2 linked regions of the Caenorhabditis elegans genome follow. The protein of the gene in region 1 interacts with the protein of each later gene in a pairwise test. Each region holds a gene or a part of one and is shown in the gene's direction. Other genes may lie near its edges.

Evidence for each region.
Region 2: the proteins of rpl-11.1 (region 1) and skp-1 interact in a two-hybrid assay, tested with the Caenorhabditis elegans proteins (one study listed by BioGRID).

The regions. Positions count from the first base shown.
Region 1 is NC_003283.11:3,584,697-3,587,771, reverse strand, and holds rpl-11.1 (Large ribosomal subunit protein uL5A), read left to right. Parts: upstream 1-1,707; 5' UTR 1,708-1,713; coding exon 1,714-1,848; intron 1,849-1,898; coding exon 1,899-2,114; intron 2,115-2,163; coding exon 2,164-2,403; 3' UTR 2,404-2,439; downstream 2,440-3,075. Other genes in the region: T22F3.2 (Ubiquitin carboxyl-terminal hydrolase 36), read right to left, coding at 14-143, 193-355, 411-653, 707-940, 991-1,132; pygl-1 (Alpha-1,4 glucan phosphorylase), read right to left, coding at 2,983-3,075. UniProt on the Caenorhabditis elegans protein: Component of the ribosome, a large ribonucleoprotein complex responsible for the synthesis of proteins in the cell.
Region 2 is NC_003283.11:11,643,530-11,650,902, forward strand, and holds skp-1 (mammalian SKIP (Ski interacting protein) homolog), read left to right. Parts: upstream 1-1,951; 5' UTR 1,952-1,968; coding exon 1,969-1,988; intron 1,989-2,033; coding exon 2,034-2,190; intron 2,191-2,235; coding exon 2,236-3,321; intron 3,322-3,370; coding exon 3,371-3,467; intron 3,468-4,249; coding exon 4,250-4,377; intron 4,378-6,325; coding exon 6,326-6,445; 3' UTR 6,446-6,561; downstream 6,562-7,373. Other genes in the region: Chromosomal passenger complex protein bir-1, read left to right, coding at 1,234-1,356, 1,401-1,745; Transcription factor zip-10, read right to left, coding at 6,674-6,982, 7,034-7,222.

The DNA.
Region 1 (3,075 bases):
TTTAAAAACTAACATTTAAGGTGACAGGCCGAGAGATTTTCTTCCCCCAACCATCAAACGAGAAGCGAGAAATGTGCATTAGCAGGATCTGTGGAGCTCGGAGAAGTGTGGGCTTCACTGGCGCGTCGGATTTCTTTTTGCACCTGAAAATTGGGGAATTTTGATTGGAAAATGAGTTCGAAAATCCAGTACTTTGAGCAATTATAGCCGAATATCTTGGATTCCGTGAACAGAGCCTGCATGAGTTCTTTAATGGAGTGGCTTTTGCCTGATGGATCCTTTCTAAGCATCCGAACCGTCATAACGGTGTTGTGCTCATAGTAGACGTGCTTGTTCTTGCACCCGGGGCATTGAACTGGAAATTAAAATTATTTTCTTTAAAAAAAAAATCAATAAAGTGCTTCAAAAACCTTCATTTCTTATGGAATATCCGAACAAATCATCGGCCACTTTGCGGCCTTTCAGACGAGGATTGCTCTGCACCGATATCTTATCGAGCTTCCCCAGAATCGCCAGGAGAGCATCATGAGCGTCTTCCTGGCGGCCTTGATTGAATTTTCGATCTTTTTTGAATGCTTCACGGAACCAATTGATAGTTCCAGCATGGCCATGGCTTTGAAGGAAGTTTTTCTTCCAGTTGCAGCAGAGACAAGCTGAAAATTAGCATAATTGCGAGAATATTTCATAGAAAAATCATAAATCAAACCTGTATCTTGGCATTGATGATCCTGAAGGATCCTTACAATTGCCGGAACATGCGATAATAATTGAACACACGAGATCGCATAGCAATAAATCGACGGATTCTGGATTCCCTTTTCCGGATAATTCTCTCTCAATTCTGACCAATTCCAAGCGTAGAGACTGCTGACGAGTTCATGATTATCCAAAATCTCGTTTCCCCGGTCTGAAAGCGTTCGTGGGCGATTTGCTCGATTTGCTGCAAAAAACAAAATTAATCAGATTATTCGCAAATTTTCCAAAGCTTACATGGTGAATCAGGCGTTTTTCTATTAACTTCAATTTCAGGAGCTCGGGGTGCAGGACGATTTTGTGAGGAGGATGATGGAATAGTATCGAAATTAATCCATCTGTTCGTTTTGAACGAATCCCAACCCTCATTTACTGTCATTCTGTAACAAAAAACGTTGAAAAAAAATTAGAAATTCAATTCAAAAGAAGAAATTTCAAGAAAATATAGAAAAAATCAAGAAAATTCAAGGAAAACTTCAAAAAAAAAGAGCGAAAATCGGAAAAAAGCTGAATTAAATAATTAAATTCGAAAATTAAAGGCACACACCATTTTCGGGACCACGATATCTCGGCACGAAAACAAAACCGTACCCTCGAATCCTAAATCGGGCCGAAAATCATTTTAATTCGAGGTTTTTTTTTCTGATTTTTCGAGTTTTCCTCACAAAATGAGAGTGGTTTGTCGTTGTTTCGCCGTCTCTGTCACCCGTTTGTGCTGTTCTATCGCTTGCCCGTTTTCTCTGCCGTCTCTTCAGCGCATGCCGGTGTGTGTGTGTGTGTGTGCGCGTCGCTCCTCCCATTTTCGTTGTTTTAGGCCTAAAATTTGAATATCTTTCTAGGATCTCAAGATGCTAATTTTTTATCGGCATTTTTGAACTTGTGTCTATGCGTTTCTCTCTACTTGTTCTCGCTTGTCACAGTTTTCAAATTTTATGTATTTATGCTTTTTTTCAGGTAATCATGACGGACGTCGAAAAACAGACGGAAATTCGCGAGAAGAAGGGCCGCAATGTGATGCGCGAGCTCAAGATCCAAAAGCTCTGTCTCAACATTTGTGTTGGAGAGTCTGGAGATCGTCTCACCCGTGCCGCTAAGGTATTCCAATATATTCTACAGTAATTCGTAAATTTTCGAAATATTTTCAGGTGCTCGAGCAGCTCACCGGACAAACCCCAGTGTTCTCCAAGGCCCGATACACCGTCAGAACTTTCGGAATTCGCAGAAACGAAAAGATTGCTGTTCATTGCACCGTTCGTGGACCAAAGGCTGAGGAAATCCTCGAGAAGGGACTCAAGGTCAAGGAATACGAGCTTTTCAAAGAGAACTTCTCTGACACTGGAAACTTCGGTTTCGGAGTTCAGGTTAGCTTAAAGTTGAAGTGTTCAAAAGTGATGATTATTTTGTTTCCAGGAGCACATTGATCTCGGAATCAAGTACGACCCAGGAATTGGAATCTACGGAATGGACTTCTACGTCGTTCTGAACCGCAACGGAGTTCGAGTTTCCAAGCGCAGACGTGCACCAGGACGCATTGGACCATCCCACCGTGTCGATAAGGAGGAGACAATCAAATGGTTCCAGCAAAAGTACGATGGAATCATTCTGCCACCAAAGCCAAAGGTCAAGAAGAACTTCTTCCGTCGTCGTTAAGTTTTTCTATTTTCTGAATAAACTGTTGTTATTAAAAATGAAATTGCTAATGTTTTGTTAAAGTTGTGAATCATAGTCTGATTGTCGTGGATCTGAACTTCAACTTCCTGGAATCAATAATTTTACGTTGCGAATGGTCTTCTGATGTAGAAAGTTCAGGATATTTATCCAGGAATTTTGAAAACTCATCGAAAAGGAGTTTGGTATTTTGCTAACGAGCTGGTCGTAGAGGTATCGAAACTTCTTTGAAGATCCTTCAGACAGCCATAATTTTTAATTAAATTTCAGCATTTGCAGATTCGAGTCAAAATTAAAAAAAAAAAGTTGATATTTTCAGTCAATTTATCATAAATATGCAGGGCAGACGTGCAAATAGACAATCTCAAAGTATGGCAACACATTCGGGGGAAGTACGATTATTGGACTGGGGGCAGAGAGGACAAAATCAATTTGATCTTGAAGATTCACAAGAATTATCGGGGGAGGGAAAGGCTTCTATAAAAATGCTATAAACTAAATGGGACGGAGAGGAGGGGAAGTTATGGCGATAATTAATTACAATGTTAGTGCATAGAAGAATTATTCGCTCTTCTCATTCTCATATGGTGCTGGAAGAGAGCTCTCGAACTGGTCGATTCCCCAGATTTCACGAGCGTATTCGGTGATTGTGCG
Region 2 (7,373 bases), 8.1 Mb from region 1:
AAAATTTATTAATTTGATAACTCTTCATGTAGGAACGAGATATTCAAAAATAATCAAGTGTAAATCTGTAGAAGAATCTAAACTGTTCAAGTTAAAAATTGATTTTCGATTATTTTTGAGATTACTCATTAATTAGTAATCATAAATAATATTATTTACCGTATTTCCTCTATTAGTAAGGCATGCAAAACTAATTTTCGGACACCTAATTTGATGCAAAACTAATAGAAGGTGCTAAACTAATTTTCGAACAGGTTTTTTCTCATGTTTTCCATTAAGTTATGACATAATATCATCAATTTCAATAACAACTTATGAACCAAAATGGACGAATTTTACGACTGATACGCAAAAATTGTCCGAATTGTACTCATATTTTGCCAATTTTGACTTGTTATACCAAGTCTGTAAGAGTTTTCCTAATTTTTAGAACGATTTTATAATGCAAATTTTAAATTCCTAAAAATAGGGAACAAATGGAGGGGTGCAAAACTATTAGAGGTGCAAAACTAATAGAGCGTGCAAAACTAATTTTCGATTAGTGATTTTAGATGCAAAACTAATGGAGGTGCAAAACTAATAGAGGTGCCTAACTATTTAATAGAGGAAATACGGTAAATTTCAGTTTTAGCCAGTTGAGAGAGGTTGAGCCGCAGGCTCGATCGACACCGTCCGGTTAAAAAGTTAATAGAATCTTTTTCCATTGAATCAAAGTTATTGTTAATTTGTTTAGTTTTCAACAAACTCATTGAGTTTCCTGTCTTCTTGGAGGTTTTGGTACGCGCGCACGTGCGCTCTACTGACCAATGGCCGTGGCCTAGCTTTCTTGGTGGCTGTATATTTCAGCGCGAAATTCGTCAGTGCGACGCGAGCTACATTTATTGATTTTTCAACATTTTATTCGATAAATGTTTTCTGAGATTTGTTTTTCATTTATATTTAAATACACACTGAAAAAATAAAACCACGTGGCGTGGATGCGCGAATTTCATGAAATTAAACTTCATTTTCGAAATCTATTAAAATACGCCACGAAGTTTTATTATTTTCAATGTAAGTCTCGTTTTATCTTTTCCTTTTATCAATCGATTTCAACGCTTTCAACTTATTTTTTTGGAATTGTGGTTTTTAGTTCAAATCTTCTTAACTGTATTTCGAATTTTTAATCTCTACCTGTTCGAAATAGATTCCTCAAGATTAAGATACCTAGTTGTTTTTCATTGATTTCAGAAAATGGCACCCGGGACCAAAAAAAAGTCGGATATGGCAAAATTCACATTCTACAAAGATCGCTTGATGACATTCAAAAATTTCGAATATGATAGAGACCCGGATGCAAAATGCACGTCTCAAGCGGTTTGTCCATTTTCGTGTTTTAAATAAAATTATTCTTGTTTTAGGTTGCTCAAGCCGGATTTTACTGCACCGGTCCTCAGTCTGGCAAATGTGCATTTTGCAACAAGGAACTTGATTTTGACCCAGAAGACGATCCGTGGTACGAGCACACGAAACGTGATGAACCGTGCGAGTTTGTACGGATTGGAAAGCTCGATGACTCGGAATTAACTATTAACGATACCGTTCGTCTCTCACAAACCGCCATGATTATGACTAAACTCTTTGAGCATGAGATGATGATAAATAATTTGTCTAATCATTCTTCTTCTGATGCTCTCTTCGATCAGCTGAAAAAAGTACCGAACACAGCATCGACAACAAAATCTAACAGCCGCCGCGGCAAATAATTTTTCTACATCACTTACTGCAACTTATCCAATTATTGATTTGATCTCATATACTCGATTTAATCACTGTTCAATAAACACTTAATTCATTATTTTATTATTCATTCAATGTTTTTGTTTTGAAATTATAACTTGTGTTTCATCGGCACTACAATATCTTCCAGTTTTGTATTTGATTCTTTTTTTGTCTAAAAAAACAATTTCAGGACAGTATTTCATCAGGATGTCGATGAAACTACGAGAGTGAGTGTATTTCACTGATTATCATGTAAAACCAATGTTTTTTAGTATCCTTCCTGCTCCTGTGGCGGCAGACGAAGCAGCTTCACAGATTCGACGAGATCCTTGGTTTGGTGGGCGCGATAACGAACCATCCGCCGCACTCGTATCGAAGGAACCACCGCCGTACGGAAAACGGACCAGTTTTCGACCAAGAGGGCCTGAAGTGAGATTGAAAATATTAATATTCTTCTTAATTTTTCTTTTCCAGGATTTTGGCGATGGCGGAGCGTTCCCTGAAATTCACGTTGCTCAGTTTCCTCTCGGATTAGGTCTTGGAGATATGAGAGGAAAGCCAGAAAATACGCTCGCCTTGCAATATGGAACTGATGGAAAGTTACAACACGATGCTATTGCTCGTATCGGACATGTTAAGGATAAAGTTGTCTACTCCAAGCTTAATGATATGAAAGCCAAGACGTGGAACGAGGATGATGATGATATTCAGAAACCAGACGATGACGCTGTTATCGATGCTACGGAGAAGACAAGAATGGCTTTGGAAAAAATCGTAAATTCAAAAGTAGCCTCAGCACTTCCTGTTCGTCATGCCGACAAGTTAGCACCTGCTCAATATATCAGATACACTCCAAGTCAGCAGAATGGAGCTGCTGGATCACAACAGCGCATCATCAGAATGGTTGAAGAACAAAAAGATCCGATGGAACCACCAAAGTTCAAAATCAATCAGAAGATTCCTAGAGCACCACCATCTCCACCGGCACCAGTCATGCATTCTCCTCCAAGAAAAATGACAGCTAAAGATCAAAACGATTGGAAGATTCCACCATGTATTTCAAATTGGAAAAATCCAAAAGGATTCACAGTTGGGTTGGACAAACGATTGGCTGCTGATGGACGTGGTCTCCAACAGACTCATATTAATGAAAACTTTGCGAAGCTTGCTGATGCTTTGTACATTGCTGATAGAAAAGCTCGTGAAGAGGTTGAGACACGTGCTCAGCTTGAAAGACGCGTTGCTCAAAATAAGAAGTCTGAGCAAGAGGCTAAAATGGCAGAAGCCGCAGCAAAAGCCCGCCAGGAAAGATCAGCGATGCGGAGAAAGGACGATGAAGATGATGAACAAGTCAAAGTTCGCGAAGAAATTCGACGTGATCGTCTCGACGATATCAGGAAAGAAAGAAATATTGCTCGTTCACGACCAGATAAAGCTGACAAGCTTCGCAAAGAGCGTGAAAGAGATATTTCGGAGAAAATTGTGCTTGGTTTGCCGGACACGAATCAGAAACGAACTGGCGAACCACAGTTCGATCAAAGATTGTTTGATAAAACCCAGGTTTCAGTTCCTTCTTCGATAAAATTTAACTAATATATTTATTTTTCAGGGACTCGACAGTGGAGCAATGGACGATGATACTTACAATCCTTATGATGCTGCGTGGCGTGGCGGTGACAGTGTTCAACAGCACGTTTATCGACCGAGTTAGTTTTTCTTGCTTATTTTCAAATATAAATTAAAATTAGTAACGGGTCTAGGTATTTTGAATGTATATATATATATATACCCACAATGCTCTAAAATGAACGAATTTCATAATGAAACGTTCCAGAAGTTTTTCAAAAAAAAAGTTTTATGGCGTTTTAAAATTTCAAAAAAAAACATTATTTTAGCTGAAATCTTATTTTGGCAGTTTATCTTATGCTATTCTAAGGTACATTTAAAATCGAAAGGTTACCGAAATTGATTACCTATGTTTGCTTAAAAAGTACCTCAATTGACGATATTACGTGATATTAAAATTTAAAAAAAGATTATAATTCAAAAAAAATCATTTTTGAACCTCTGCGACACGAAAAATTCGCCAAAATTGATTCATTTTTTCTAAATTTCGAACCGCCATAAAAATCTAAACGTTCAAAAATAACTAGAACCGTTAGTTCTTTAATATTTCAAAATTGAAATGATTTCCTAATGTATGTCTGAACTGAGGAATTTGTGACATTCTAAAATTTATTGTTTTTCTAATTCATTGGTGTTGGAATTCACAAAACTCTTTGATGATACTGATGTATTTGACTTTCATGTCCGTTCTGGTTCATTTGTCGTTAAAAATAGAATCACAACTTAGGTGCCTAGTATTTGATAAGACGTTTGTAGTACTGCAGTCATTACGATTAAAATGACGTTATGCAAATACGAATTTCGAAAATAATTGTATTTTTGTCAAAACAGGAAGAAATGACGATTTATAAAACTTTTGCAGGCAAAAATCTCGACAACGATGTTTATGGTGGCGATTTGGACAAGATCATCGAACAGAAGAATCGGTTTGTAGCTGATAAAGGATTTTCAGGAGCAGAGGGCTCGAGTCGTGGATCTGGACCTGTTCAGGTTAGTCAGTTGATCTGTTGTCAGAAATTTTAACTACGTTACTAAAATAGCTGGGAATTTTGAGAATTTGGGCGCTGGCTCGTTGTTGATGAGCGTCAAAAATTGACTGATAAGTAACGACGAATTGAACCAATTCGTTGATTTGTGCGGTCATTATCATAAATGGATCATTAATTTACGTCATTCCGAAAAGACACGCACAGCAGTGTGTTTTGGAAGTAGAAAAGATTCTTTACATTCTTGGTTTATGAGCTTCAATTGTCGTGCGTAATATGTTTGACATTATTGATAAAATAAGATTAAAATAATTAAAATATGTCAAAGTTCAGTTTTCATCCATTCTCTTTATGGTCGAAATGAACTATTGATGTATTTTAACTCACGATTAATTTGATTGTAAAAGTTAACCAATTTTAGATATTCTAATTAGAGTTATAATAAATAATTATGGATTCATCAATATTGTAGTTTTATACAATGCTCAGAGCTTATTGAACAAAAACTAATTATATCTTTTCTATCATAGCCGATTAGCTTTTCTTTTTACTTAAGTTCGGGATGCAGATTCTCTTCAGTTTAACACATAAAATGTATTAAATTACTTTACTGTTTCTAGTCACATTTCGAGCTGAACGATCAGCATTTTATCGAGTTGTGTCTACGGAGGCTGGTGTTTGCGAGCATCTTTCATAACCCAATCACTATCAGTACTTACGAAATATCACGTCTTATCACCAACAAGCCAGAAGCATTAGAACCAACATGTGATTTACTCTAAAAGTTGAAATGACTGAAATACTAGACAGAACTAGAGCGGTGTTGACTATATTTCGGTCTATTTTTAGGAAATGATAACTTTTTGCTCCGAATATACGTGTAAATGAAACAGCTCAAATCAAAATTTCACTCTCAAAGTGGCATTGTAGTTAAAAATACGTATTGCATTTTTTAACAAAAAAATCTTAGTTTTAGTTTTCGCTTATTATGAAAGTGGACGAAATAAACAGTTGTCCTCCCAGTTTTTATAGTATTTATTCGTATTTGGAAATTCTAGGGATCGAACCTGTAGAAATAATCGAAATTTATCAAAAAATTGAAATTTTTGAAAAATTTGGCATTTACTATATTGAAAACACCAATTTTTCAAATGTTTAAACCATGTTCATAGTTTAGATTTGAACAGGAAACGTATTTTTTTTCCGGAATTGTTTGCAGCGAACTCGGGGAGCTGGGTAAACTTTTTCGGCGAAATGGTGTTAATTGTAGACTAACATCTAAACTGAGTGATAAGCAGTAAGCGGATAAGCCAACGATCATCCGTGTCGATTTATAAATTGGTTCAAGCAGCGTTCAAAGGGCAAAACATTAGATGATGATGATGACAGAAAATACGATTTTCATGCCATTTTAAGAATGACAATGATAATTCTAGTATATTTCATGACAATATTTCCGAATCGTGATTGTGCATGGCATAGTTTCGAAATTTCTTACAAAGTTTATTATAAACTTATCAAGAAAATGATGACGATGCGGAATCGTCTAGAATTACAGGACAGACACGATGGCGGCCGATTTGGCATGTTTGCGTGTGACGATCGAATTGTTGCAGAACGCGTAGAAAATGCTATAATCTGGTCAAAGTGCATTTGATTCCAACGAAATAGTTTATACGCATTGAGTTTAACTGTGAATCGAACGTTATTGAAATTTAGAAAATTCCATCTGCGAAATTGAGTGTGTGGACCCGTAGTATTCAGAAATATATGTATTTACTGAATTATTTTTTTGAAACCTAATTTCTAAAGATTTCATAAGGAAATTGCATAAAAGATGCTCTTAAAATGACTGTGACTACTTCTAAAATTTACTTATCAATGAGTCATAAAACATTAAATGTCACTGTGCATTTATGAATCACTACAAAATGTTAACCTTTTTATTTCAGTTCGAGAAGGATCAAGATGTTTTCGGATTGTCATCACTTTTCGAGCACACCAAAGAAAAGAAACGAGGTGGGGATGGTGGAGACTCCCGTGGAGAATCAAAGAGGTCTCGACGCGACTAATTTTAATATATTTTTTATTTGTTTTCTGTTATTTTTTCTCAACTTCTTTTTTGGAAAGAATCTCTGTAACTCTTCTGTAGTTGGATGTTTGCACAAAGATGAATCAAAACCGTGTCAATTTTTATTAATAACATTTCGAAAGAAGACCAAATTATGTCAGCAAAGAATGAGCGAATTTGAAAAATTATGGCAAAGAGGATTCGGGAGAGGGGAATATTGAAGATGTTCTTAGGAATGGTTGATTTGATTATTGAGTTGCAAAATACTGATCAAGAAATCTTTTTGAGCATTTTCTTGTTGAAGACCACTAACTGCTTGCCGGAGAGCTTTTACTTCCAACTCGAGTTGCTCCTTCTCATCATGAAGACTTTTCACATTCTCCACCTTTTGGCGCATTTGAGCACGGTACTGGCGAGCATAAAGACGGCGATGACGCTTCTTTTGACTGTGAGCATCTTGTCCATCTGCAATTTCTTGTTGTGGTCGACCACGACGGATTTTACCAGGAGCAGCAGAACTTTCAGTTGAAGAGCATCTCTGAAAATACAAATAATATTACAAGATTTTGAGAAAATATGATATGCTTACCGAGCTGGATGTGGTAGATGTTCCCAAAGAAGCAGAACTTTCAAATGGCAAAACAGGCAGATTGATGCTGAATTGAGCAAGCATTGCTGGATTAATAGCAACTGGACGATGAATTGAAGCTGATGAGAATAGAGATTCAGGAACAGAGGAAACTGAATTAGAAATAAGAGAATTAGTCATTGTTGTCATTTTTCAGGAATGAAATGTGGACTGAAATTTGAATGATGATAACTCTTTTATACATTTGCATCAGGGGGACACCCACTTTTTCGTTCCTTATCATTTCTTCCATGTTTGTAATTGGAAACACAAGCACCGCCCATATTCCCGCCCCTCCCCC